Linked DNA regions of Coturnix japonica. The protein of the gene in region 4 purifies or fractionates together with the protein of the main gene of each other region. This does not show direct contact. Links are inferred from orthologs where the notes say so. Each region holds a gene or a part of one and is shown on either strand. Other genes may lie near its edges.

What was found.
Region 1: the proteins of STRIP1 (region 4) and FGFR1OP2 purify together in Homo sapiens (affinity purification with mass spectrometry; 3 studies listed by BioGRID and IntAct, with this or other methods). This does not show direct contact. The link is inferred for Coturnix japonica from reciprocal best matches to the Homo sapiens genes STRIP1 and FGFR1OP2.
Region 2: the proteins of STRIP1 (region 4) and PPP2CB purify together in Homo sapiens (affinity purification with mass spectrometry; 6 studies listed by BioGRID and IntAct, counting the BioPlex papers as one, with this or other methods). This does not show direct contact. The link is inferred for Coturnix japonica from reciprocal best matches to the Homo sapiens genes STRIP1 and PPP2CB.
Region 3: the proteins of STRIP1 (region 4) and SLMAP purify together in Homo sapiens (affinity purification with mass spectrometry; 4 studies listed by BioGRID and IntAct, with this or other methods). This does not show direct contact. The link is inferred for Coturnix japonica from reciprocal best matches to the Homo sapiens genes STRIP1 and SLMAP.
Region 5: the proteins of STRIP1 (region 4) and SIKE1 purify together in Homo sapiens (affinity purification with mass spectrometry; 3 studies listed by BioGRID and IntAct, with this or other methods). This does not show direct contact. The link is inferred for Coturnix japonica from reciprocal best matches to the Homo sapiens genes STRIP1 and SIKE1.

The regions. Positions count from the first base shown.
Region 1 is NC_029516.1:62,492,779-62,498,160, reverse strand, and holds part of FGFR1OP2 (FGFR1 oncogene partner 2), read right to left. Parts: intron 2,983-5,382; coding exon 2,869-2,982; intron 2,576-2,868; coding exon 2,462-2,575; intron 1,707-2,461; coding exon 1,569-1,706; 3' UTR 1-1,568. UniProt on the Homo sapiens protein: May be involved in wound healing pathway.
Region 2 is NC_029519.1:30,567,746-30,573,720, forward strand, and holds the start of PPP2CB (serine/threonine-protein phosphatase 2A catalytic subunit beta isoform), read right to left. Parts: upstream 4,022-5,975; 5' UTR 3,884-4,021; coding exon 3,782-3,883; exon of another isoform or gene 2,594-3,781; intron 1,959-2,593; exon of another isoform or gene 1-1,958.
Region 3 is NC_029527.1:6,505,303-6,510,684, reverse strand, and holds part of SLMAP (sarcolemmal membrane-associated protein), read right to left. Parts: intron 5,096-5,382; coding exon 4,924-5,095; intron 3,919-4,923; coding exon 3,784-3,918; intron 405-3,783; coding exon of another isoform or gene 321-404; exon of another isoform or gene 315-320; intron 1-314. UniProt on the Homo sapiens protein: Associates with the striatin-interacting phosphatase and kinase (STRIPAK) core complex, forming the extended (SIKE1:SLMAP)STRIPAK complex.
Region 4 is NC_029541.1:1,697,664-1,703,554, reverse strand, and holds the start of STRIP1 (striatin-interacting protein 1), read right to left. Parts: upstream 4,055-5,891; 5' UTR 4,028-4,054; coding exon 3,911-4,027; intron 3,515-3,910; coding exon 3,445-3,514; intron 3,222-3,444; coding exon 3,147-3,221; intron 3,035-3,146; coding exon 2,900-3,034; intron 2,669-2,899; coding exon 2,548-2,668; intron 1,856-2,547; coding exon 1,787-1,855; intron 1,598-1,786; coding exon 1,491-1,597; intron 1,254-1,490; coding exon 1,126-1,253; intron 981-1,125; coding exon 798-980; intron 666-797; coding exon 448-665; intron 113-447; coding exon 47-112; intron 1-46. UniProt on the Homo sapiens protein: Plays a role in the regulation of cell morphology and cytoskeletal organization. Required in the cortical actin filament dynamics and cell shape. Part of the striatin-interacting phosphatase and kinase (STRIPAK) complexes.
Region 5 is NC_029541.1:3,921,680-3,927,583, forward strand, and holds SIKE1 (suppressor of IKBKE 1), read right to left. Parts: upstream 3,689-5,904; 5' UTR 3,558-3,688; coding exon 3,251-3,557; intron 3,164-3,250; coding exon 3,021-3,163; intron 2,473-3,020; coding exon 2,359-2,472; intron 2,011-2,358; coding exon 1,921-2,010; 3' UTR 1,144-1,920; downstream 1-1,143.

The DNA.
Region 1 (5,382 bases), on a different chromosome or scaffold from region 4:
CCAAAACACACTGCGGTACAATAGATGTCGCTGCTGCTAAGTCACCGGCTTGCAAGCTACAGCAGAAATGCAAAAAGCTGTTATGTAAGCATGGGTAACGTTTAGATCACAGCAGGTGTCATTTGGGCTTGAGATCACATTAAGCTCCCTGTAAATCGGCCCATCCACTGGGAATCTTAAGTTCCATTGTAGACCTTTTGTTGCATGTACCTTCGAGTCTATGGAGGTTTTACTTAATATTGTTTTTAAAACAGCCGCATTTGATAGCGCTTAATGCTCCATCCCGCCTGCATTGTTGCAACTGAAAATGAAACTTGTTTAAATGGTAACTGATTGCAGAGTACTTCAACTCATTGTGCGAGGTAAGTAAGTTAGTAAACAGCCCCGATACCGGTTGTACATCTGCAGCCTTCTGTGACTGAAAGCTTTTACTGTACTTCAAGTGTGCGTTCCAAGTAAAGACTATAGTAACACGCTGAACAAAATGTGGTAACTCGCTTAGCAGCAGCCTTAGCGCTCTGAACAATGAGCAGAAGCGGTCTGACAAAAGCCAGCTGTCAATCATTGCGGCGCCTCTTTCATGGCAAACACATCTTACGAAGCACTTCTGGTGTACAGGCAAACCGTGCAAGCTACTTCTTGTTCTAGAAGCGCTAATTCATTTTCACCTCTGCAGCTTTTTCACTAATAAAAGTGAGCAGTCTTGTCAGTGTGATGTATTGAGAGCTCCCAGTGAAAATACACAAAACTCCTTGACTAAATAGTACTTAAAGAAAGAAAATAATAGTTCCAGGTGCACAGTCTGCTAACTTTGCCATAGAATTTCTCACCTCTTTCTCCCAATTATCTTTCCCTCAGTACGGTCTGAGTGCTTTCAAATTGCTGTTTCTAGCTTTGGGCAGCCAATCCCCAAAGAAACAGATGAGACTACGGCAGCCTGCCACCCACAGAGAACTGAGCTTCATTTTCTCTCATAAGGTAAAAACAACTGCAAAAGTATTGCTTATGTTTGAGCAACTGGCCTTACATTGCAACAGGGCAGCCTGCGGCTAACAGGAGCCCGTCGGCTTTCTGCTGGCTCTTTCCATTAAAGAGGCTCGTTGCTAAATGCTGAATTTCACAAACCTTAGTAACTAAAAGGACAAATGAACTATGGAGCATGCACAAAGCGTAGTCAGTCGCTATCTTTTAGCCAGATATCAGACTACTTTAAATCTTGCATTTATTGTATAATAGGTGCACTGAAGTTTTGTCCGAGCAATAAATTATATAAATTAAGTGAAATTATGTATTTTATTTGTAAAATGACTTCATATAAAAATAATTCCCAATTCCATAAGTGCACTAACCCATTTCCTACTGAAGTTAGACCTATGGCAATTAATCTGTCACTACGGTATTCAGAGAGTACCGACTGGAGTTTATTTTACACGGTATAAAAGCCACTAAACCAAAGTTCAAGATGCATAAGCCTGCTGGTGCCCTATTCAGTAACAAGTGCTTGACAAGTGACCCCTGATATTCCGTTTGTAAAGTGTGCAATTAAAGCTGGTTGGCTTCCACAGTCTTCAGCTCTTCCTCAGGCTCAAATCACTGCTTGTTACTAACCCTGAAAGGGATGTACTCTCTGATGCATCTTCTTTCTTAAGGTTCAGGAATGATTCTCTGGTTATCTGAAGAATTTCTCTCAAGCCTTTGTTTTCTTGCTATAACCGAGGGATAAAAAAAGGCATTTAATAGAACTCCAGAAAGTCAGATAACTACATGAAGGATCTCTCCTTCCCTTTACTACAAACACACTTACAAAAGACATGCAACAAACTAGCAGTACCAGTGAATGATCCAGTAACTCAAGAAAGAGACAGTAACTCAGTAACTGTGATAAGGTTAACACCCTTGCTAAGGGCTGAGTTCTAGAAATAACTGAAGCACTGGGAACAACAGAACCAAAGGCATTTTACACACAACGAACTGTACCAGAAGGTAAGTGCACAAAGCGGCTTTTGTTTTACGTGCCGGATTACCACAGAGTTACAAACAGAAAGGATCCCTTTACTGAAGAGTTTACTGACTTTAAAAACTGTTGTTAGGGTTGGTAGCAGCATTGGAAATAATTAAACATTGCACCCAGTTCCTCACTCGATAATAACGTGTGACTTGGTTCCACAACGTCTTATAAAAAAGCAGCCAAATTGGTAGCGCACTGGGAAAACCTTTGTCAAAGGAAATGATTTAATACCGAGGGAGACTGGAAAACCAAGCAGGTGACTAAAGCAAAAGTCTAAATCAGCATCTCAGGATTTGTGGCAATTTCAGCAAATCTACTGCAAGAATACAGAACATGATTTGCTCCCGAGTTCTGGAAAGATGGCACCGCAGCAGAGACCAATCTCATGTCAGCTACAGCCCCCTCAGCTCCTTGATACAACATCAAACTAATTCTCCTAAGTAAACTAATTACCTGAAACAGTCCAGCTCCATGAAGATAGCACGCAGCTATCTTAATGCTGGCTTTGAGTACTGGCAGCAGATGCACGGGAAGCTGGCTATTCCTAAACCCTAAAGTACTGAAAGACTGTAAAAGAAAGGTAGAACTGTAGGGTCAGAACAAGATATTTTGTTTAGAGACGTGGAGCACAATTTAAAGCTTGTGTGAACGTATTTGGGTAGCGGTAACCTGCTCCCCCAACTCCCCAAATAAGTGGCAGAGAGTTTCCCTGTTCTGACAGCCAGACTCTGATCTGTGTGTAATCGCAACTTCTTGTCTCACAGTCAGTTCTGAGCATTTCTCACTGGGAGGGTAGAGGAAGACAGATCCCTATTTGTGCCATCACTGGCACAAATCTCAAAAAAAGATCTCATACTTACTTCAAGCTGAATGATACGTTCCTGCTCTTTACAGCCATGCTTGTCATCAATTTCAATGGCTTTCCTCATTACCGCTGCCATTTCTGTAATTTGGTCCACGTGCACTTGTAGTTCCTACACCATATAGATAAAACAGTACTTTTAGTAATAAGCTTTCTTCATTACTAAAAATAAAGTATTACATGTGCATTTAAACTGCCGTGTCATGCAATAAAAATGCAAACACAGACCTAAACAAAGAAGCGCTAACTCTACAGCATGAGCAGCCACTGCAGTTCTGTTCATTTAAATCAATCTGGTTTGCCACACGGTTCACTTTTAGGAGTTTTACAGAAGAAAACATGCCCAAATGACTGTGCCTTTGACAGCTTCCATGTCTCCCAGATGGCTGTTAGACAGCCACGTGTTTGCTCTGGCAAGAACTTCCTGTACTGCAGGAGCTGATGTATGCGTCCTTCTGGATGTGCAGAAAGGCCAACTTCATCTGAGCACAGCAGCATATTGGACCTGTTTGAAAGCTGGTCGCAAGTCTGGTACAGACAGTACTCGCCCGTGAGTGGGCATTTCTCTGTTAGAAAGAGCAGGCAAAGCTGTCATCCTGACTATGACATAAGTTGGAAAACTCTGAGTCCTTTTTGCGGTACCGCTGCTCAAATCCACTTCCCATTTCAGCTTATCTGGGATCTGGTCTCTAGAGGTCCTTGTCCTTGTTGAACTCTAGAAACACCCTCGTGTCCTGCCTGACCTCCACTAATTAATACCAATAGGGTACTTCCCTATTATAAATAATTACTGCATCTCACTGAAATATTCATGGAGGAGAAAAAAACAACAAGTGCAGTAGTTGTCTTTGCTCATCTTGTTCCACTGCCAGGAAAGTGATGATAGGAGACATTAACACAGGCCTAACAGCCTTTGCAGGGAAGTTAGATTTTGAATAATCTCCCCTGTTTGCAAATAAGTGATATCTTACTTGGCCCTTGTTGGCTTGGGTGATGTTTTACTTTCTCACTGGCCAGCATATCAGCAAGAAGCACTTATAGAGCCTCTGCTTATTTCTCTTGAAAAATGTAGATGAAGAGCCTAAGTGATTTGGCATTCACTGCTGTAGAGTTAAGCCAAATACTTTAATGTATTTACAGACGCTTTTAATTTGTCCAGTCTTTCAACCTGTTTCTTATTCCAAATCCACTAACAGACCTGCCTCTCCATGCCTGGCCTGACCTTTGGGCAAAATTCACAACATTTATTAAATATTACTAGAAAAAGAACAGTAGGACTGAAATCTGCTATGTACAGTGAGGAACAGCACAGATTAAAGTTAAATACCATCTTTAAATGACAAACTTGATTAGAAGTCCACACATCTAGCAGATCATCACCTTGCCCTTGAACTCTCAGAAACAATTAAACTATCGTAAAAAAAAAATTCCTCTGCTTGGAATCACAGTCTGACCAACCATTAAAAATGAACATCAGCCCTTCCCATCCTTCTCTGCTGTTTCAGTTGCCAAAGCTGTGGTTTAGCTGTTTACTCATTAAGTGTTTGTTTGCAGCATGGAAGTGAGGGAAAGGAGTGGGGAGGAGAAAAAGAGCTTCCTGTAAATAAGCTTGTAAATTCTTCTCAATTTCCAGTGAGAGTGGGTGCATTGAGCATTTTTCCTTCACTGAAAGTTGTTTTTCAAGAGTTTCTTAAAAGAATAAATATGGCTTGAAAGGAAGCTGTGATCAATGGTAAAAGAATGAGCAGGCTAGGATGTATCCTGGAGAAGGACTGGGAAGGAATTAGTGGCTTTTAGATACACAGCTGTCTCATTTGGCAAGCTTATGTGGCATCTCGATCAATATGATCTAGAGCCTGTTACAAGGTCACTAACAGGAGATCAGACAGCATGCTTAGGCTCATTACAAGCAATTCTCATGCACACAAGAATGCTAAGAGAAACTGCTGTTCTGTTAAAGGCAGGTGCTTGTTGAGCTGCAGAAATTAATGAGTTAAATAATATTTTGCAAATAGCCACTGAAGTTGACAGTTGCCACTTAAGAAAGCAGTGATTACTGGTAACATTGAGATTAGCTCGTTAGGTATTATGGAATTTGTTGTTAATGTGCTAAGAACTATTTAAATACTGCTTCAAGATTGTTCAGTCTTACTGGAGGCGAGGACTGACCAGAGGGATAAATAACAAAATGCCAGAAATCTAAGAGTCAGGAAAGGGTAATAAATCCTCTTTATCAAGTATATTTGTGAGGTCCAACTTAATAAAAATGCCAAAGCCTAAATCTCCCGTTTAAGTAACACTATTTTCCATTATTATTGTTTTGTTGTCTCAAGCTTGTAATTGAGAAAAGTGTTTCTAAATGAAATTTTGAAGTCCATTTCAGGACTGATGTTTTACTTTCTTGCCTTGGTTCCAAAGGATTGACCCGGGTACCAAAGGTATCAAATACACAAGAGATAAAGCTAACTTACAGCGCTAATACCAAATAAAACGTTTTGGTACTGCTTTGCTA
Region 2 (5,975 bases), on a different chromosome or scaffold from region 4:
CTGAAACTGGAGATCTTACACAGGCCCTGAGACTACTGTCAGGATCATCAGGAGACTAAGCTTCTGTGAGAGGCTTAATGATCAAACACATCAACTCTCATACTGCTTGGATTTGTCTCTGAGACTCGTGTAGGATGACTCCATCGGTGAGGGGATTAAGATCCATCCAGATTTTCAATATCAGGTCTTCCCTGGATAATAATGTAAGATCCTTTGAGAACACAGAAACACAGCTCCTTCTGGAAGATTCATTGACTGTGCCATAACCTCAGTTTGATTGTTGGAGGCCCTTGCTTCAAGAATCCAAGAAACCAGTTATGGAGTTTCTCATTTCTCTGCCAGTTGCAATTAATTAAACTACAGCATCAACAGGCTGAGGATCCTAAAATCTCGGAGGTGCCTCAGCAGCTTCGTTTGACAAGAGCCAGCTGGATTCTCCCCAAATGAGAGGGGAGCTGGAGAGCTGGAGCTGCCCTGCCCTTCAATAGCAGGGGGCAGCCCACAGCCCCAACAGCAGCACTGATGCCAATATGGATGTACACTCCTAGAGCCATCCAGGCCAGTATATGCTAAGATAAACTTTATCACTGAAGAGATAAAATACTGCTGACTGTGATCCAGCATAACACTCTCAGAATGTGTCATGGTTTGAATGGCATCCAGGATGTAACTTGGCTTTGTTGCTCATACTAACTTCACCAATTACTGCAGAGGAGCCTACGAGCTCATTCTATTAAAATTATTCCTGGGCAAAATAATCTCAGAGGGCAGAACTGCCATACGTACATGCTAGCAACAGCAGTACTCCCTAAAGCACCAACTGGCTCCTTCTGCTCAGCTTGAGGAATCAGTGCACAATTACTTTTCAATAACAAGAAATGCAAGTGTTCATTAGTGGTTAGAATCCTTTTCCTCCCACCACTTCACAACACAAAGCTCTCCAGCTGCTCACAACAACAAGTCTCTACCCCCCTCTTAGACATATGAAGACCGAAGATGGGGGGGAAGGGGGAAATAAGGAAGCTACAAAGAAATAGATGGCTATAGATAGTCATTTGCCTGTGTTTAAGAAACAGCCTTTAACTGGATTTTCTTTATGCCGTATCTTATTATCTTAATGAAAAACTGTCTTTATTATAACTAAAGCCTCAACTCCCTCATCAGCAGAATTAATCTGCTCACTTGACTTGAATCTCAAATCAAGCAGCATTTAAAGCTTTTCACGTCCAACCTTGAGAGCAGTTCCTGTTAAAATGAATCCACCTCCTCAGTCTTTCAGCCTGGCTGTAGCTGCTCAAAGTGCAGGTAATGAGGGGCAGCAGTACCCACGCGGGATCAAAAGGAGTTCCATGCATTAAGTGCTACCCTTCTGTCAGTACCCAAATTCAAAGGCAGCACAACCACGGATACAAAACGTGCCACTGCACTTCTGATTAAGTGCAGACAGCATCCAAGACTGAGCTCTAAAGATTTTCTCACTGCCTATTTAATGGGGGAAAAAAAAAAAAGGCTTTTAACAACCTTCATCTACTCAGATGATCTACAATAATAAAGTTAAACAGTAAGAGATGCAAGAAGCCTAATGTTCATTTCCCTGATGGGCTGGAAACATTTCTGGTGCCTGGAAGCTCCAGTAGTGACAATAATTGTTTGTTTTTCTATTACATACTAAATATCAGCATGACTTTAGTTTTCATTTTAAGAGCAGCAGAACAGGAAGTGTTTTAATGTTATCACCAGATGACATCTTGATTAATTCTACAAAGACTCTAAGATGGATTAGCTGCCAGTTATGTCATAACCAGGCAGATCAATTTACAGTGATTCTACAGGTGCAATTATCAAAAGCTTTCTGAGAGAAGAACAGCTGCTATCCCCTGTGTGAGCCAACTATCTCCAGTCCTTCCCTCCTCACTGTCTGTGAGGCCAGCAAGTGAAACCAAGAACGATACACACAGGTAAGTCTGGGACTCAATTTGGTTTTGTATCCCATGCTTTCATAGAAAACTTTCAGAGTATTTTTTTTATTTTATTTCCCCCCCGCCCCCCCATTTTAACCACCTAATACTATTACTAATTTAAAAACTAAAGCAAGAGTTACTATTGCATATGACCAGAAAGGTTGTTAAGGGTTTCTCCAAGTATTATCTTGGGGAAGCAACCCAAGCTTTCTGACAGCGCTGCAGATCAGTTACCAACGCTACCTGAAAACCAGATGCTCCAATAGCTTACATTTATTTCCGAGCAAACATGCTGTGCCTCACAGGTTCGCATGGTTCACATCCTACCCGTCATTTTGGAGGACTGACATTCCTTTCACCTGCAGCTGTGCTCTCCACTTGGCACCTCTCCCTGCTTTGCAGCCACTGACTGCAATACAACCTACTGATCATACCATCCAGCTTCTGAAAGCACAGCAGCCACAGCTCCTTCTTTGGCTTTGCTGTTAATTAAGAAGGGAATTATTACTATTATTATTATTATTATTATTATTATTATTATTATTATTATTATTATTATTATTTAGCAGCTTGGTGGTTGGTGCAGCAGTTCAGAACTCTTGCTGTTCTGAACTGCAAATCAATTCTTTCAGGCTCATCAGCTGGACTTCAAACGACAGCACAGCTACAAGAAGCTCACTCTTTTGAAGACATCTACATCTCAAGGCTCTTCAATTGCTCCCTGCTGCAGCACCAGCCCTTCTCACAATTGTCCCAGCTTGGTGAGTGCAGAAAAAGCCATAAAGCAAATGGGCAGTTACAGCGTGGGTAAAAAAACAGAATGGGAGAAACAGGCCAGTGTGCAGCCAGACAATCCAGGACTACTAGTAAAAGTGTATGTCAGGCAGCCACGGCTTTGACTTCTAACAAATATCTGCCTGTGACACTCAGCTCCTACCTTTTGAAGGGCACTCCTAGCATGCTATAAGGCGGTGGTGCAGGCTCTCTCTACTGTTCAAACCTATTGCTGCGGTGGCCTACTGAAGACTTGGGGGGAAAAGAAAAAAGAAATAGTTCCATCTTCTGAAAGCTGCCACTGGCCAGAATGCCAGGAACAGGCACCACAACAGATCACCTGCTTCTGCAAGAGCTCAGTGAGACACAGGTAATGACAACACAAAACCTAGCTCGCTATCAGCAATACAAACAGTACAGGGACCAATGAACTAGCTGTCAGGCACATGAGGCAGAGCAGTTACCAGCTGATCCAGTGCACGGCAATAGTCCCTGCTGTCACTGAGGTACATAGAGAACACAATCTGAGCTGCTGTGCTGAGCCCACCTCAGCTCCTTGGCCTTGTCACAGCTCGTACATTCAAGCAGATCCTAGCTCAGCTATACACTGCAGTATGGATGGTTATGCTCGCACACAGGCATTTAACTTCTCAGACAAAAGCCACCCAAACCTGTCTCCTGACAGGAGAAAAGGCTCTTTGCGGCAAACTATATTACCTCTCCAACCACTTCCTGCTCTATCCCGGCCTCCCTCCCCACAACGTAGGCCTGTCTTTAAGGCGGCAGCACAGCCCACCCGCTGCCCCTCATCACACGTCAGGGCTTTCCCCACGGCTGCGGGCCGACGGCCGCGCTCCGGCTCGGCGCCGTTCTACAGCCGGCGCTTCTCGCAGTGATCCGCCATGCGGGCAGCGCCGGGCGGGCCACGACGGCCGGCCCCGAGGCACAGCCGAGCCCCCTCCAGCCGGCCGCAGCTCCAGGCCTCGCACGGCCATCTTCGGCACGGCCGGCCCCAGCGCCGGGCCGCCTCTCCCCGCCTCACTCACCTTCTCGCAGAGGCTGCGGACCTGGCTCTCGCTCAGCTGCCGGCACTCGTTCAGCTGCTCGATCCACTGGTCCAGCTCCTTGGCGAAGCTCTTCTCCTCCATGGCGGCGCTGCCGGCCGGGGCCGGGCCCCCCCCGCACTGGGCGCCCGCGAGGCCCGGTCCCGCCTGAGGCTGCCGGCGCAACGGCGGGGGCGCGCGGCCTGCTGCGCTCCCGGAATGGCGGCCCCCGGCCCTGCGCACTTCCGTCTGCCGCCGCCCCCGCCCGCGCTTCCGCTCCGGCACTGCGCGTGCGCGGCGCCTCGCGACGGGCGTAACGGTCCGTCCCTCAGGTGGAGCTGGGAGTCAAAGGGGTTAGAGCGCTGTGCGCCTATAGCGAGCTGTGCAACTGAAAGTGCGTTCAGCAGAGTCAAAGGGAGTCATGTATTTACACAAATACAGTTTGTTTAGTTGCTCCTAAAAGTCCTCTGCCATTCTGTACTCATAAATGATGCCTTTTGTGAGCTGTGAACAGCTTGGAAGACTCAGCCAAGAGAGCCCCTGGACCGCTGAAACCAACTGGGACTCTCCCACTATCTCACCAAAAGGGAGCCCTGAGGGAATTCTACTTCTCAGTCTCGTAAATTAAGACTTAAGCAACCAGATCCATAAAGCATTTGTAATGCTTCCACCTGGTCCTTGGTGAGGACACCAGGGCGGTGTAACTTCAGCCCCACTGTGTTATGCACCTGGAAGATGTTTTCCACCTGGACCGGATGGCTCCACGCAGTGCTGAGGTTGATGCTGACGTGCTGGAAAGAGGTATGTGCCTAAGAGAAGTCACCCAACCCTCCACAGGGTCCTGCTGGTGTGGTATTCACTCCAGCGCTCCTATATCTCCTCCCTGCATATCACCCGTGCACAGCACAGCCCTCACATTCACCCCCCATGCTGCATGGGCTCTCCCTGGTACCCCTAGCACCTGACACAGTCTTGCACACCTCTTCTGCAGCGGCTCTGCTGAGTCCCAGCACACTTGTGGGAGAGGCAGTATTGGGTGGTTGCACTTGATGGGGCACAATACATCATCTGAGGAAACAAATATACATTATTCAGGGTGGTGTGAGGATGCTTGGCACTCCCAGGAACTGAGCAGAACTTGCTGCCTCCCATTTGAGGCTACAGGGAGGCAGAAATGGGCACTGTTGTTCCTTTAATTTCATCTACTCACAGACTGGATTCTGTACCTGAAGATGCATGGGAAAAAAGGCTTGCAACCACTTGTGAGTGCTGCCTTCCTTTGTACCATCTCTAGTAACCAATGCAAATGCCTTGTTAATGCATGGTACTGAAAAACCAAGACGGTGTTGTCTGCCTTTCTGAGGAGGAAGAAAAGATTTTGCTAGGTCTCCTTCTGTGAACATCATTAGATGTCCACAGCTTTTGGCTGCTGTTTTCAGTGAGTTCATCACAATAAATCATTTCTTTCTAAAATGCAAAACACCAACATCAGAAATTACTTAGCCTCCAGGAAACATTAATAACAGTCTTATCTCTTAACTGTTAAGTATACTGAAATGCAGCGATTCTTCTCTTGTGCACTTACCATTTTGAAGGGTGTAATTATGAAACACTGGTGAAAGAGGACATAAGGTTGAAAAGCCCTGGGGAGAAGATGCGAGAGGCAGATTTATATTCTGGGTCTTGGTTAAAATTATTGCCCCTCACAGACGGACACATTTCTATGTCTCTCTCACAGGAAGCTCCCACGTGGGAGACACTGTAAAGCCAGCTCTGAGTGACTGAGCCCTGAAACAACTGCACCGTGCATCAGGCAACAAGAATTAGAGCAGACAGTTCAGACTACACAAGTAAGCAAATTTATTTTAAGACAGAACAAATATTGTGGCAAACAACAATACGCAAATTCAGTTGGTAACAGGGGTAAATATCAGACTTCGTTTTCAAATAGATATAAAATATATTCAGATTTTGTTTTGTCCAAAAAGCAGCTTGTGTAGGGGGCTTGGGATGGGAAAGGTCTGCCCATGAAGCTCCAGAACCAGCACTGACTCCTCTGCCAGCAGGGCTGCATGCATGGGCTCTCCCACCACAGGACAGAGGTGCCTGTTGGAATTCCAGCTCCCTTTCAGTAGTTCCCTCCCTTCTGGTAAAAAGCCAATTCTTGCCACAGACTCCATTTTTGGTTGTGGAGGAG
Region 3 (5,382 bases), on a different chromosome or scaffold from region 4:
TTACAGGCCCTAGCATCGCAGCATTGCGCAAAAGGTAGCCCATTTGCTAAAGACAAACTGAGACCAAGTTAGAAGAGGCACGTTCAGAACCAGTTAGAATGAAATTAATTGTTAGAATTAAAGGAATCAGACAGATGTTAAATGATTAGTTGATCGTTCAGCTCGTCAGTATCAACAGAATGGCGTATTAAATGAAGGGTTTGCTTCAGGTAAAGAAATACCTGTGAGCATTTCACCATGCACTATTTTATACAGAAATGGCACAAACAGGTGAGAGGGACAAACATACATCGACTGAACAGTAGTGCTTGTACCTTTCGCTACCACAATGGGCCGTAACACCAATACAGGAAAGCCAGGATTAGGCCGATGAATACGGCTGGGACGGGTTGTAATATGGAAGGCTAAAGAAGGGAAGGGATATTAAAAATCACTTTGTGCTATAAATCAATCAGGTAAAGATGATTTAGAGAGGGGAAAATAAGTCAGTGAGTTTTGTTTTAATTGAAATGTATTAAAGACATCTAATAATACAGCATTATCTAATCTGGTATACAAAGTTAGTACACCATTCTACTCAAATGAACAGGAACGTTCAAAAATAAAGGGAAGTGAGGAGAAAATACTCTAAGAAACTTCATCTCAACTTGGAATTTAGTACTTAAAAACAGTACAAATTATTTGCTTGTATTTTATATCTATTTGCTTTTAGATTTTCTGTGCAAGTAATTGGAAATCCCAACTGGATTTCGTAAGGCAGAAAGACTCATACCAGAGATTGAATTTTTCAGCTGCTTCTTCATTCCGCCTTTCCTATTTTCCATCATCAGCCTCCAAGAAAAACAATCTCTTTCCTCCATTAATGAATCAATAACAACTATGTCCACAGGCAAACCCAGTAGTTCAGACATTTGTGAGGTTATAACACAATGTACAATCAGCACTAAGTTACTATAAAGCAGAGAAGTAGATTTCTGTTAGAGATACCACAAAGATCAGCATCTCTGGTAGAGCATCAGACTTGTGAGCAAATGCAGTTCTGAAGATTGATCCAATGATGCAGCTGGGCCAAACTACCAGCAAGCAAGACTGAAGGGGTTCGTTTAGCTCATGGCCTCATTACAAGAATCTGCACATTTTCACAGTTATTTTCAATTAACTGGAAACTACTTTGCTTCACAATCTGGAGAGAAAGCCTCTATCCTCAAAACAATACACTAGAAGCAAAAATGGACCTAATTCCTTTTTAAGCTGTCCCGGGAAGACATCTGCTTTCTCTGTATCTTAGCCTGTATGTTTCGTGCACATACACACAGAGGTTAAGTTCAAATCATGCTAAATATTTTCCTAAGAACTCCTCTGTGCTGAACTCACCTTGATTTTGTTCAGCCAAATAAATTCATGTTTGGAGACTTCCTAAAACATTGGGATCCATAAATAAAGTCTCATTCTGTTTTGAATTTGAGGAAGTCAATCACAGAACTTCCAATGGGGTTAAGAACACAGAAATCTCAGAATTACCTTAGAAGGTATTCTAATATTTGCCATTCAACTCTTGCCATTACAATAATTCAGATTTGTTGTATTCAATGTAAATATTAGACTGACAAATCACATGCAACTATTAATTTCCATGCAGTACTTTATATATATATATATATACGTATTTTGTCATTGTTGCCACAAATCAGTGCCATCTTCCCAAAGAAAGCACAAGGGCAGAAATAATCACAGCAGTGTTCAATAAAGCACCAAAAGCTTCAGTCAACTCCGTGACAGCAGCTCATGTTCTCAAACTGTTCACATAAACAAATCCGTCATGTAAAGCGCATCAGGAAATAATCAGTGACTACAAACATGCAAGCACAAGCAATACACCACACTGCTAAGCAGTTCACAGCACAAAACTGCAGTTCTTTTTAGTTTGGTTGGTTTTTTTGGGTTTTTTGAGAGTAATAAGCTTTGTCTTTCTGAAAGGGAAAGCATAAGAAAAACTTAATATTTAAATTATGTTACAAAAGGAACAGAGAAGCCTTCTCTCTTCTAGTATTTATCAGTTCACCAGATAAGCTGATGGAGTTTCTTTCAAATGATTAAATCTTACCCCTCATGAGCTTATTAAAATACATTTTTTACATCTCCCTATTGCAGAGGAATGCACATAATTAGATGCTTCATCAAAACCATGCGTTCAGTATTAGAATACGTAGATATGCAAACTCAGAGACAGACTGGCCACAAAAATGAATAAATCCCACAGAGGGAAGCTGCCTTCTTGAGGACACTGTCCTCACAAATAAAGTAACAGATAAGGTTTCCAGCAAATAGGGGATAACAGAACTTTAAAAATTTGACCTTGGAAGTCAGCCCAGTATTCATGATGCTTCAAATATTCCACAAAACAGACATATTTTACATTACTGATTGTGAGTAATGCTTGCTTGAATAGCAAGCTCGTCCTTCAAGTCCTTATATGGCTGGATGCTCTTCATCACAGCCTAACCTCCAGGCTTCAACTCTTGTACCTCTTCTTTAGATATGTTTTGGCAACTGCTGTCGTTCCTTATTTCATTTTGACAATCACCTCAAATTCTTCCTAAAAATTCCCTTACCTTGCAAGCTTTCATCTGCTTCTCCAATTCCCTTCACAGTGTTTTTCTTTCCTCAACTTTCTCCCCTTTTTCATGAATCAACTTAACAATGAGATTAATGTTTTAACAGAGCAGAAAAATCTCACATCTGCAGTTACTTTAGTATCTCTTCTATCAGAAAGTGTTTTGGTTTTTTTTTTTTTGTACTTCTGCCTATTTCAGTAATTCAACATTATTTAGGCATTACAGAAAATTCTAAAGCAGAAATAGGTTCCAAGAGAATATTAACATCCTATTCATGAAAATACAGCCAACTGTAGAATGGCTTTGAGTTCTTCACATCTTTGTTAACTCTACTGTGTCAGAGGTTTGTTTTCAGTAAGTGTGCTATGGTGTAAGTATGTATTCTCCTCCCCTAGGACACAGATATCTTCAGAGAATGGTACTTGTAAACCTTTAATTCTGTGCTGTCTGTGGGGGGGTTCATAGCAGCAGAACAGGAAGACAATAAACCAGCCATCCCAGTAGTAAAAAGGCTGTAATTACTTTATAATATCTGTTGCACTCTTAACTTTTGAAGGATTTCAGAAGTTTCAGTATTAAAAAAAATAAACCAAAAATGCTGTCTCTAGCTGTAAACTCAATACTAACAACACAGCCTCTCCAACTATAACAGAAAATAATTACTTCCATGAGTGAATAGAAAGGATGGTTCAGTTGCGTGTGTAAAACATGAGCTGACCAGGAATAATCAATGTTAAGAAGCGTAAGCAAGACTGAGGAGGGAACACATGTCGTAATAATCACTAATGAACTAAAAGCACCTTGAAGAAAGTCACTTAACTCATTTGGATCCAGGTTTCTCAGATTTCACCCATGTGTCAGTCCCTGAAACTGGGAGGTTTTGCCTAGTACTTAATGGGTAGTTAAGTTTGATTTTTTTTTTCCTAGACAATAGTAAGGCTGTTTTAAAAACCACCATACAACTGTAAATCTAATTTGCATATATATTTGTACCCATGAAATGACCTACACATTCAATAGGTAGTACCAGAAAGGAATTTTGCATGCAATATGGTACACAGCTCCTTTTTAAGTCCAGCCTTTTCTGATAAATACTTAGATGTTCCCTTAATCAAGAACACTGTCAGTGTCATAACCAGACTTCCCCAAATATTTTGTACAGACTTACGTTGTTTCCTTTTTCTTGTAGCAGCTTCAAGTTTTCTTTACACTGTTTAAGCTCTTCTGCGATTGACTGCTTTTCTTGTTCAGCCATCTCATACTTCGCCTTCAGTTCTGAGAGCACTGTCTGTGTTCTTTCATACTAAATGCAAAGAGAAAGAAGGCTACAGACCTCTGAACACCCAAAAAACATGCTCACATTTGCTCAGTGCACAGTTTCCTTTCTGTCTACACTGCCTAGTATAACTTGTCTTGGATTAATACTCTCTCTTTATATTAGCAAGGTAGAAAAGCCTTACCCTATGCTCAATTTTATCTACTGAAAACAAGTTTACTTGTATTTGTCATTAACAGGGATTAGAAGGCACAAAACCAATGTCCTTCAGTACTGGCATTTACCATAACTTAAAAGGATAAGCATCTTTACAAACTCATCTGACTACAAACACAAAGATTAGCAAGACTGCTCCTTTCAAATTCCAAAAATGGTAAGGAATGCGACAGGGATGACTTCATGACAAAACAAAGACCAAGATTGCGAAACACAAACTAATAACAGTGACTGGCGGAAACTTCACTCAAGCTGCCCCTAAAAATAAACAAGTAATTGATAGAGACAACAGCCTTCTTCCAGACATGATTTTCAGAACTCAGGCTCCATAAACTAGCTTTTCCTTATGCACTTGTTAATCATCTGTAAAAGCCTGATGGTCCATTCAGAAGAAAGGACAAACAAACCTTGAAAGAATGTGCAGGTCTGCTGTGAAATCGCATGTAAAACTAAATAGAAACATCGTATTGACACAAAAAACTTCCATTTTGATTCATAATGCCTAACAAGACTTAATACAGTGATGATCATTGGGTTCACCTGACTGAACAGCTTGTAAGTACTTTCACTAAGGTAAGGCATGAAAGTAAACTTCAGAAAGTTCCCAGCATGTATACACAAGCTGTTTTATTTTACATCTTCCTTCCAGATTTGACTCCCAATTCATAAATTGTTGGCTAACACAAATGTACTTGCAATTAAAGGAAGAAAAAGATTAATTACTGAAAATGTTGTAGTTTTTACTTGTTTTATGTTGAAATGAAAGGAAAGTCACAGGGCACTGGATTCACTCAAAACAGAAACATTCCATGTTACCTCTTTCTGAACATCCTTTGCTTGACTCTCAGCTTCACTGAGCTGGCTTTTTAGACTAGCTGCGTCCTGTTGATGTTTTTCTCTCAAAGATCCCATCTGATCTTCAAGTTCTTTTCGAGACATTTCAAGAACACTTATATTGCTGGTTAGAGCTAAACTCTGCTTCTGAGAGCTGAAAAACAAAATTCAGTTGGTTCCTCTTCAAATTTAAACAGAAATGATTTGTTTTAAACCAGTTTTCATTTTCTGAGCTTCATATTATTTTTACTTAATATGGAGAAATCATCTTGGAGCAAACATAGAATCAAAAGATCAACACTGATTTCCTATGCAAAGTACTGATACAAAAGATAGGCCATAGACTTGCTTTTAAATACATGTGCACCTATTTTTGCATGTTTGAATAGATTATAGATACTTTCATTCTTATGCCTTCAGTTTCTTATTCGCTTTATTATT
Region 4 (5,891 bases):
CACCCCAAAATGAGCAGCTGCCCAGCCTGGCTTTGCAGGCACCCACCTGCCCAGCGTGTAGCCAATGAATTTGCTGCGACTGGATTCCAGGAACATCTCGATGTCCTTCTCTCTGCAACAAAAAGACAAGAGGAAAAATAACATCTTCCTGTCAGCCCAGTGAGGCTGTGAAAACTCCCTCCTCCTTCAAAAGCCACTTGGATGTGGTCCTGGGCTCCGTGTCCCTGCCTTGAGCAAGGACTGGGCCACTGAACTCCAGAGATCCCTTCTAACATCAACCATCCTGTGACACAGCCCGATCCCCAGGCACAGGAATAACCCTGTGGCCAGACAGAGAGATGGTGCTGAGCCCCCCTCAGTGACTGAACAGCCACTGAAGCCATCGGCAGACCAACCACTCATGCTATCTCTTCTTTCCTCTCCCTGCAGTTCACCCTATGGACTCACCGGACCTTGGGTGCCCAGGGCAGCCCCTTGGGGCAGGTGATGCGGTCACTGGGGGGATGCTGGGTGGGTGGAGGCATCACCTCGTCACGTTCAAGGGGGAAGGTCTCCCCCTCCAAGCTGTTGTCATCATCGTTTTCCTCCTCTTCCTCACGGGAGTCGTCAGCTTTGTATGGGTCCCTCTCATTGAAGGCATCGAGGTTATCCTGTTTAATCAGGGCCTGGAGGGAACAGGGGAGGAAGGTGGGTTCTGCCCCATGCAGGTGAATATACAGAGTACAGACTGCTCCAAGGTCACATCCTGAGCCCATCTGTCCCCTGGTTCACACCCCTGTCCCCAGCTCTGCCCTCACCTTGTGCTCCCTCCGGCCTCGCTTCTGCTGCTGCTCAATGAGGTCGGAGGCTGATGCAGGTGGGGAGGCAGCTCTCATGTTGCGGATGACTTTAATGCTGTCCTCTGGGAGTGGGGGGAGGCCCAGGACCTCCCTCTTCTCTGCCTTCATGCTCTGGAGCTCCTCAAAGCCCCCCAGGGTGCACTGAAAGGGACAGAACGACACCACGAAGGTGCCAGGAATAAGAGAACGGAGCAATGGCAGGCGGCTGTGAGTGGGCAGAATTTCCTCTAATAAGGGTAGAGCTGTAAGACACACACACTGGCCCAGCCCACGTCCTCTCCCTTACCAGCACAGTCTTCCAGAGCAAAAGCAGCACCTTCTTCATAGGGAAATGTGGAGCGTGGCCACTGCAGAACTTGGTCACCATCCCAAAGAGCATGACAGAGAAAGGCTCGTTGTTGTACAGAGGGGCTCCTGGAACCAACCAGCAGCACAGTCAGGCTCTGCTCACCCTGCTGTGCCTCCCACCCCCACCTCTGAGCTCCCCATCTCACCCCATGCAGCTCCTCTGCTCCCTGCCCTCACCTGCTCCAAGGTTCAGCAATAGCAGAGACCAACCCTGAGGCCCAGAATCAACACCCACCTCCCCCACTTCCCCATCAGCCCTTGGAACCTCCATCCAACCCTCCTGTACAAGCGTGGGCTCCTCACCCAGCTCTGCTCGGAAGGTCTGTCTCATGCTCTTCCATTCAGCCTTATCCCCCTCAGCCTCCTGCCGGACCGTCTCCACGATCAGATACATGATGTTCAGCAGCACCCTGCCCAGAACACAAGATTGGGCTGAAAACCAGAGGCTGGGATGAGCTACATTGCAATGCTCTTAGGGAAGGTTTGGTCTGCCATAACCACAGCCCACCTCCACCCATTCACTCTCCATAACAGGGAGCTGGGGCTCTTATACTGGGGTATAAAGCCAACACAGCAGCTCCTCGTGCAGAGCTCCATACCTCAGGTCTGTGCTGTCAGCCAGGGAGATGGCAGGTTTCCTCACTGCACTGCTGCACGCTGCACTGTTACTGCAGGGAGAGAACAGCTTCAGTGCTGCTCCTGAGGCATTTAACTCTACTATAAGCAATCCAAGTGTCAGAATCAAAGCCTGGAGTGAGCACTAATGCAACAAGTCCCCCATCAAGCAGAGGGGGAACGCAGCTGTTGCCAGACAGCACGGCTGTTAGAGATCTGCTGCGTGCATCCTGTGTGTCTACACATCCACACGCAGCAATGCCAGCCATTCGAGTAGGAATCAGAACAGGAATAGAACAGAAACAGGGCAGGGAACAACACAGCTGCCACCAGCTGGAGGAATCTCAGCACATAGCAGAGCCCCATAGCAGCTCCTGGAGCATCTCAGCCCATAGCAGAGCCCCATAGCGGCTCCTGGAGCATCTCAGCCCATAGCAGAGCCCCATAGCGGCTCCTGAAGCATCTCAGCCCATAGCAGAGCCCCATAGCGGCTCCTGGAGCATCTCAGCCCATAGCAGAGCCCCACAGCAGCTCCTGGAGGCATCTCAGCCCATAGCAGAGCCCCATAGCAGCTCCTGGAGATCTTCAGCCCATAGCAGAAGCCCCAAGCGGCTTTTTTTTTTTTTTTTGCCACCTTTTGGGAAACATCTCAGCCCATAGCAGAGCCCCATAGCGGCTCCTGGAGCATCTCAGCCCATAGCAGAGCCCCATAGCGGCTCCTGGAGCAGCTGCTCCCACCACTCACTCGATCTCCATGTTCAGCAGCTCCACCAGCGCGTTGAAGGTCCCCACTTCCAGCAGCAGGAAGATGTTGTACCTCATCCAGGCCTGGACATCAGCCTCGGAGCTGCACTCCCCAAACGTGCCTGTAACGACACCCTGAGTGGATGCAAAGCCCTTCTGTGCAGCCAATGTGCTTTGCAGATGGACAGAACGTCACATCTTTAATGCTAAAGCAGGAGGTGAAAAGCAAAGGACAGAGCTGCCCTCTTGCAGGGGCAGTTTAGACCACTCTCCTTCCTCTGACAACTGCTTCAGCTCCACTTGTATGAGATGAAATACAAAGCAAAGGCCTCCAGCTCAACGCCAGCACGTACCTTGTGCAACATACAGGATTGCTCTGGCCACCTTCAGCCTCTTCTCCCTGGCTGTGACCTCCAGCCCATCCAGCAGCCTCATGGCGTGGGTGCGATGCTGCTTCTTGTCCAGCTCCGTCCATTTCTTGTCCCGCACTGCAAAGCCAAAGCATTGATGTATATGGGATGGGGCTGAAGGGCTGCTTGACTTCACAACCTGATACACCCAGCCCTATTGGTGCCCCCAGCTCCAAGGGGGGGCTCTCACCGTGGATCCTGAAATCCTCCTCGAAGCATTTGCGGTTGAGCAGGAACTCGGGGCCTTCGGTGTAACTGTACAGCTCTGCCAAAGAGCACAGAGAACCGTCACCCTGCGACCCACGGGTTAATGGCTGCTCAATGTTAATGGCAAAGGAACAGCTGCTATGAAGTGACACAGCCCTTCTAATGTGAATGAGGTGTTTAAAGGCAACAAAGCGACGCTGGAGGGGACAGAACCGCTTCGGTCACGATCAGGGCATAGAACCCAATGCTGATTCATTGAGCTGTGAGGACGGGCCCCTTACCGGACAGCTCCGCCGCCCATTTATCGGTGTCTGCGTATTCAAACTCCAGGTCTGGGGACTCCGAGTAGCCCTGGGGGCAAAGAACGGGGCTCAATGAGGGGCTCAGTGACACAAACGGACCCAAACGGACCCAAACGGACCCAAACGGACCCAAACGGACCCAAACGGACCCAAACGAACCCCAACACCCCCCTCATTCCTGCAGCCCCACAGCAGCACCAACGTTTCCAATCCACCCCCCGGCCGTGCTGCCGCATTGGGCCGCAGGTTCCGCCCCCTGGAGCTGTTCACTCCATACAGGGCCGCAGTGGGATCGGGACGGAACCAGGCCGGGCCCACGGCACCGGAACCGGCCGGACCAGGCCCCGCCCCTCCCGGAACCGGCCCGGCTTAGGCCCCGCCCCTCCCGTCCGGCCTTCTCCCGCCCCGCGGAGCCGGGCCCGGTTCTGTCGGTTCCGGTTCTGACCTCGGAGTCCTTCCTCGGGGGTCGGCCCAACTCTCGGCCTTTCCCCGCCGGTCCCGCCCCGCTTCGGGCCTTGTTGTTGGCCGGGAGCGGCCCCGCCACAACGCCGCCCGGCTCCATGGCTCCACACAGCGAGATCTCGCGAGGACTCACCCCTCCTTCTCGCGGGAGCGGCAGGGAGAGCCGGGGTAGAGCCGCCGCCGCCATGTTGGGAGTGGCGCCGAGCTCCGGCCGTTCTCCTGCCTCCGCCATGACACCTCCCGCCGGTCCCGCCGTTCAGACGCTCAGGCCGCGGCACCGCCCAGCGCCGCCCGCCCCCGGTGGCCACGTCCGGTGCGGCGCCTCGACCGGAGGAGAAGCTCCGCCCCATCGCCGCCATGATAGGTGTGGCGCGCGCCATGTTGGGAGAGGCACTTCCGGCCATCACGTGACGCGACGGCTGGGGGCCGCCATGTTGGAAGTGGCAGGAAGTGGGGGGGGGATGGGGACCAAAGGGGGGTCCGGAATGACCTGATGTGACCCCGGAACCAGCTCAGAGCCCAAATAGGGGGAGCAGATCCCACCAGAGGGGCCCATATAACCCACAGGGGCCCATATAACCCATAGGGGCCCACATAACCCACAGGGGGCCATATAACCCACATGGGCCCACATAACCCATAGGGGGCCATATAATCCATAGGGGCCCACATAACCCATAGGGGCCCATATAACCCATAACCCACATGGGCCCACATAATCCATAGGGGCCCATATAACTCATATGAGCCCACATAACCCATAGGGGCCATATAATCCATATGGGTCCACATAACCCACAGGGGCCCACATAACACACAGGGGCCCATATAACCCACATGGGCCCACATAACCCACAGGGGGCCATATAACCCATATGGGTTATAACTAATCAGGTCAGATCTATGGGGCCCACATAACCCATATGGGCCCAAAGCCCCCATTACAGTGAATGAGGATCCAACCCCAACTACAGGCCTTGGAGGGGCTGGGGGGGGGGCTTGGAGGACCCCCACCCCCCTATGTGCCCCCATAGGCTGTAAGCACTCACCCACCGACCTGCCATGTTGGTCGTTTTATGCTCCTACTCGTTTTTTTTTGGTTTTTTGTTTTTTTTTTCATTAGACTTTTAATGATTTATTGCTCGTCTGCAAGGATTAATCATATTGCATTCGTTAAAAATCAGTCATATACAAAATAAACCTCTCTCTCTTTCTCTCTCTCTCTCCCTCCCAGCCTGACATTGCCTCCCCCCCCCTCCCAATACATGGCTTAGATGGAGCTGCAGCCCCCAGCTTGGGGTTAGAAAGACCCCCCCTGCCCACAGCCTATGAGGGCTGGGGGGACACAGCCCCATAAGAGACAGAGCAGAGGGCACAGGAAGGTGGGCAAAGCTGCCCCATCCATCCTCATATCATCCCCCCCATTGAGGGACAAGCAGCACCGCAGCCACATACAGAGCCATGGGAGCAGCCCCCATCCCTGGTTGCAGCTCTCTGGGTGGGGGTCCCATGTCAGCTCTGTAACAGGCAGTGGGGGAAGAAGCGAATCCCTCCCTGCCTTTGCTAAGGGAAGAAAGAGGCATTGGGAGAAAGGGGGGAAAAAAAGCCAGGAGGAACCTCACTGGGTTGGTTGCAAGGGATTTCCCCCAACAATAAGCTGCAAGAGATGGAGGTGAAGAGAAACATTGGTCACCAGGATGGGAAAGGGAAGGAGGAGGAGATGAGAGTGGCTTGGAATGCTGAGGGATGCTGCTGAGGAAGCTCAGCTCGGGGAATGGGCAGCAAGGGGAGCCCAGGGTGCAGAGGGCTCAATGGGGTGTGGGGAAGGCTCAGTCTGTGCATCAGCCTTGGAATGGAAGTGAAATGCCCTTCAGAAATAAAAGCAGACAGTCTATAACAGCACCCGCCGTGTCCTGCCGGGACGGAGCCTGAACTCCACAGCTGGACACATCACTCCTTCAACG
Region 5 (5,904 bases), about 2.2 Mb from region 4:
TGTGCATTTTAACAACAACCCTGAAAAGAGACAAAATAAGCAGAGCAGTAAAGGCAGAGGGAGCGTTATTGGAAGGACTGGGAGCTGTGTGTGTTGTAAGGCCGAGGCCCACAGCGCCGTGAAGCTCCGGGAGCGGCCGCTGTGCGCCCCGAGCTGCCCAAGATGGAGGATGGAGGCCGAGGGGCGGCGCCGACAGCGGGGGCTGCCACGGCCACAGCGTGACGGAGCGGGGCAGAGCCGGGCCCGGCCGCCTCCAGGGCGGGCAGCGAAGGGAAGGAGGCAGGAGGGGAGGAGGGAGGAGGTTGTGGAGGAGGGGCCAGGCCGCCCGCACACAAAGGGGGGCGATGGCGGCCGCTCCCCCGCACACAAAGGGACGGAGCCCGGCTCTGCAGCGGGCGGGGCCTGGCGCACAGCACGCCGGGAGCCGCGCTCCGCCGGCCCGTCCCCGCAGCCCCCGCGGCCTGTCGGGACCCGTCGGGCCCCGCAGTCCGACCCGGCACCGCCCCCGGCCGGGCCGAGGCCCCCGACCCGCCGCTCCCGTCAGGCCCCGCCCCGCTGCCCGCCGGGACCCGGCCCACACGGCGGGGCGGCTGCTGCCCGCGGGACGCCGGGAAACGTAGTGCGCCATGGGCCGCGCCATGGGCCGGCCCGAGCCCGGCGGAGCTTCAACCCGGCAGCCACAGGCCGCGGCCCGGCCCGGCCCCAGCCCCACATCCCCACACGCAGCGCTGCCGGGGGGAGGCCCCGCGCGGCTTCGCCCCACCGACAGCGCCGCGACGGGCCGCGGCCGGGCCGACAGATCGAGGGCTCCCCCCGGCTCTGAGGCCGCTCCCCTCGGGCTCCGTGTCCCTTAAGCCCCGCGGGCACCGAACCCCGCAGCGCCGGGCGCCCCCGGCCGGGCGGACTCACCCCAACAGCTCAGCGCCCCCGCTCCAGCGCCGCCATGAGCAGCACGGCACCGCACGTAGGAACTAATCCCGGCCTCTCGCGAGATCGCGGGGCGGGGCCGCGCCTGCGCCCTCACGGCCACCGGCGGCAGCACGGTGCGCATGCGCAAAAGCCAACGGCACCGCCATAGCGCGGGATCCACGTGGGACGGGGCGACGGGACAGCATTGATACAATACAGAATACAGCACAAAAATGGCTGTAAATTGCTTTATTCCATCTTAAAATAGTCTAGGAAAGAAGTCTGTACAATGCTCCTCAACAGGAGTCCCATATATCAACTAAACACCTTTATCTGCATAATCCAAATAGACTCATAACACACACAGTTGCTTTATCTATCAAAACTAAGTAAAAACAGCATCAAAAAGTAACAGTGACAATTGGGTGTCATTGAATTACATTGAAAACAGCATGAAAATGCCACTGAGAGCATCACAATATCAATATAATATATATATATATATATTATATAATATATATTATATATATAATATTATATATAATATATATTATTATAATATAATATAATATTAATGTGAGCAAATACTGAGGGTTGGGTCCTCAAAGCCAAAGCTCCACTGTGCAGGCAGAGCAAGGTATCAACTTGTTATAACATAGACTTCAATTCTTCTTCCTTCTAGCAAATACAACATCCAGGAGCTGTATTGTGTTCCCCATATCAGGCAGTTCTAAGTGACAGCTGGAATTGCCGAGGAAAGCTTATGGAAGTAACACTCGTGAGATAAACTGCCACAAAAGAGCCGGCACCAAAAGCACTTGGTTCACTTGGTTGATAATACAGAGCAGCAATACAAGCCTTTGCCATCAGGAGTGTGTGATTGCAGAGTAACACAGGGCACACATTGGGATAGATGGAACATGTGAAACACCTGAAGAACAAGTTACAGATCGTCCTTTGTTGGGTGGCTTCAGAACAGTCTCTGAAGTCAAGGTTTGGGTGTGTTGTGATCTAAGCTTCGCTGTCACGCACATCGTCCCTCCCGAGCTCAAAGGATTCCTTGCTGATGGACAATAGTTCCCGAAGCTCTTTGTTTTCGAGCTGCAAAAAGAAAAATAATAATCAGTATTTCAACTGAGATAGAGATGAGTTAATTAACAAAGATTACAGACTGTTAATTAAGTAGCCCCATTCCTTCACAGCCGAATAGAAATCTAGAACTCAAACTAATGTTTACAAGGGATGAAGCACATCACTTTAAAGGACACCTTTTACTTTGGGCTTTATCGTTAAGATGACAGAAATACAAAGAACTTAAACAGAAAATGTTCCTTGCCTCCCAACCTCACCCACCATCCCTGTTTTTTATTGTTATTAACACCTGACACACACAACCATCTATAGTCCCCAAAAGCTTGATCTGTCCTTAGCGATGTCGTGGGTTCTTACCTCCAGCTGAGCTAGTTTCTCCTGTACCTTGAAGAACTGATCATCATCCACGTGTACAGCTTTTCTCATCACTTCACCCATCTCACATATCCTGTCTATTTGTCCTTCAATTTCCTGAAAGACATGGGGAAAAAAAACAAACACCGTTAATACATTCAGGCAAAAGCAGTAATAATTTATTCCTTATGAATCCATTACTTTCATGTTATTAATTCTGGACTACTTTCCCATTTTGAATCTTAATCTTTCCCTCCCAACCACTTGTAATCCTCCCTGCTTTAAGACAGCATCACATACCTCAACACACGGCAGCTTATAGGGATTTTGGAGGCTCTTTTCCTTTTGTTACAGTTACTCAACAGTAATGATAACCACCTCTGCTGTGCTCCTCTTAAGTGAAAACAAAGCTATTAAAGCTTAACCCCAGGAATGTATCACCCAGAGCACACAGCAAGCCTTCACCTGGACAACCAAAGGCTCGTGCTGTTCAGGATGCTCTGTGATAATTTACAACCTGTGAGAAGAATGCAGGGAAAAGATCAAATACCAAAGGGACCAGAGCTTGAAAGAAGGCTCCTGGAGCAGAATGGGCCCGTGAAAGGAGACAAACGTTGCATGAAAGCAAACCAGAGAGCAAGTTCCTCATCCCCATCCCACCTTACCACAGAGTTGGCCTGATGAACTTTCAGCACTGGTTCCGCATCTTCACCTTTTCTCCCTTGCAACAGCTGCAACATCTGCTTCCTGTATTTGCTCATGATGAGCTCTAAGGCGTCCTGGTGCTCCTCCAGAGAGATCCACAGCGCTACGGGACAGGGATCGCAGCGTTACACGGCACCACGCGACCCCCCCGGTGCACCGAGAGCCGTCAGCCCCATCCCGTCCGACTCACCGCGGTTCTCCTGCCGCAGGTCGCGGATCTGCGTGTTCTCCTGGCACAGCAGCGTGTGCGGCCGCAGCCGGGAGCCGTCAGCACCATCCTCCGTTACGCTCCGACCCCGCCGGGACGCGGCCGTGGGCGCCGCCGCCGCCGCGCTGCCCTTGTCGGCCGGCCCCGCACCCGCCTCCCGCATAGCGGCCACGCGTTGGTGCAGGACGGCGGACTGATCGATGAGCGACTCGGCGGCGGTGTCGTGCTCCTTCAGCCGCTCCAACAGGGTCTTGGCGTCCGTCAGGATCTTCTCGATGGTGCAGCTCATGGTGGGCGCAGGTCGGGCCGCGCTGCTCAGTCCCGCGGCGGCCCCATGTCCCGCACAGCGCACGGACCGAACCCGCTCGGCACAACAACACCCGCACAACAGCCGCTGCCTTTTCCGGGCCGGCTCCTCGCCCCGCAGCTGCGCAGCCGTGAGCTGAGCCCGGAGCTGAGCCCGCACCGCCGCCTGCTGGAGGCCGCTGGGTGCGGGGATGGTGTTAAACGCGTGGATCCAAAGCTCCCCGCTGTCACACGGCGTGGATCTGAGAGCCGGCAATGGGAGCTGCTCTGTTTGCACAGCGCAGGTGGCCGTGACCCACGGGGGGTCCTGGTTATCTTGATTTCAAACTCCTTTAAATCCTGGGCTGACATCTTATCTGTATCCCTGTTTGTCCCTCCGACAGTAAACATCCTCTCCTCAAGTTAAAATAACAAGCTGTGCAGTGCTGACTTCGTTCTTTGTTATTTGCTCGCTGTAACCGCCCGTAGCCACCCGTGGTGATTCTGCTGCTTCGCTTCTCGTCGTGTCACGTTTTCCTTTGATACTTTCTAAGCAGTGTTTTAGCAGTGTCAGCAGTTCTGCTGCCTGCAGCCACCCTGCGGGCTTACATCTCCTTTGGGACACACTCAACAATTCAGCTGTTCGTGCCTTTCACCCTATTCTAGTTAAGGAAGTTCCGTGGTACCAAATTTACAACCTGTTGCACTTAAATCCCATCGTACAGCCCGGGGGACTCAGTGAGATCAATGCAGCACCAGCAATTCAATTCACATCAGCTGGGAAGTCAGACTGAAGCAGCAGGAGCACACACTACACCTCAGCACAAGCTGCACTTGGGTTGTATGTCTGAACCTATTCTGTTTCTTACACTTCTCCTTCCCTTTGGGCATGATTTAATGCTCACTCTTCCCTTCCTTCAGAGATATCATTCCGGCCTTTCATGCCACGTGGAGACAAGGGAGAGGCACTGCTTTATCAGGCTTCCATGTCAGGATTGTCTGAGTGTCTGAAATAAAGACACAGAATGAAAAGGAGATGAAGTCCTAATGTGTCCCATGCCCCCACTCAGGGCCGTGGCTCGCTCCCTGCCCAGCAGATCTCTTGACACAGAATCATTAGTTCCACTCCCAGAGGACAGCAGAATGAGTTCATGTGGCGCCAGGACCGACCCGATCCCAGTAGCACAGCACTCCTGTATCTAAATGCTGCTCGTGCTTCTCACCAGGACTTCTCTTATGTAGCAACAGAGCTTAAACAAAGCAGCGGATGAGCGATCTCAGGGCAGTGGTGTCTTATAATTCCTTTGGCTTATCACATCAGCGCTGTATAAACTGAAGAGAATGTATAAATTTGGCCTCTCAAGCATCTTAGTGTTTAACTTCGATTCGATTAAACACTTATGTATGTGTATAGAGTGAAAAATGGGGTTACAAGAGGTTAGTGCTTTAATGCTTTTAATAACTCTTAACCACATGACTGTATTTTGTCAAACAGAACGTGGATTTGTTCTAGCAGGAAAAAAATATATGCTAGATAGAAATATATTGAGGCTCTCCAAAACATTAGTTTTCCAAAGTATCCCGGTTGTTTAGTATTTGACTCTTTGCTTTCATCATTTAATGATTTACAGTAATGAACTGGAACATCGGTATTTTGCACTGAAATGACCAAAATAGTTGTGGAGGCATCGCTGCCCTCATGTGACAGAGCTCAGATGTTTCTGTGAGCAGTTAGCCAAGAGCAATAGACAAAGCCATTGCTTCTGTTTAATTTGTACTGCAAAACAACAACAAAGTGGCCGTAGCAACTTGTAGGCAGATCCCAGTAGCTTTTGGACTGTTCCTTTGCTGAGATTTTGCCCTTTGTTTAAGTTTTGTTTGACAAGGGCTTAATAAATGAATAGAAGAGGTGGTTTATGTTTCATTAATGAGGTTGAGAGTGGTTAATTACTGAAGTTACGTAAACAATCCAATACCAGATCAAGCCGAATGGGTCAGTTATGCAGAGAAGACCCAGCTGGAGTAGATACGATTTCCTTTAACTATTCAAACACCAAGCGAGTTACAAAGATCTAGAATCACCAGTTCAGATGAATGCAGATCTCTCCATATCTTGAAGATGAGTTCTCTCGACAGGCACCTACGTAGGGAAGGTTCCTCTGAACCTGCAGTTTCAGCACTCATCAAATTCATAGACCTACTATGAAAGGAAGACTTCCTATGTGGATGAGACCTTACAGGAGCTCGCAGTTCTCACCAGACCAGGCAGAACGTGCCAAGTGTTGGTGTTTCAATATAACAACCTAATCAAGTGTCTGCAAATTCAATCGTTATTTCATGTAGATACACCA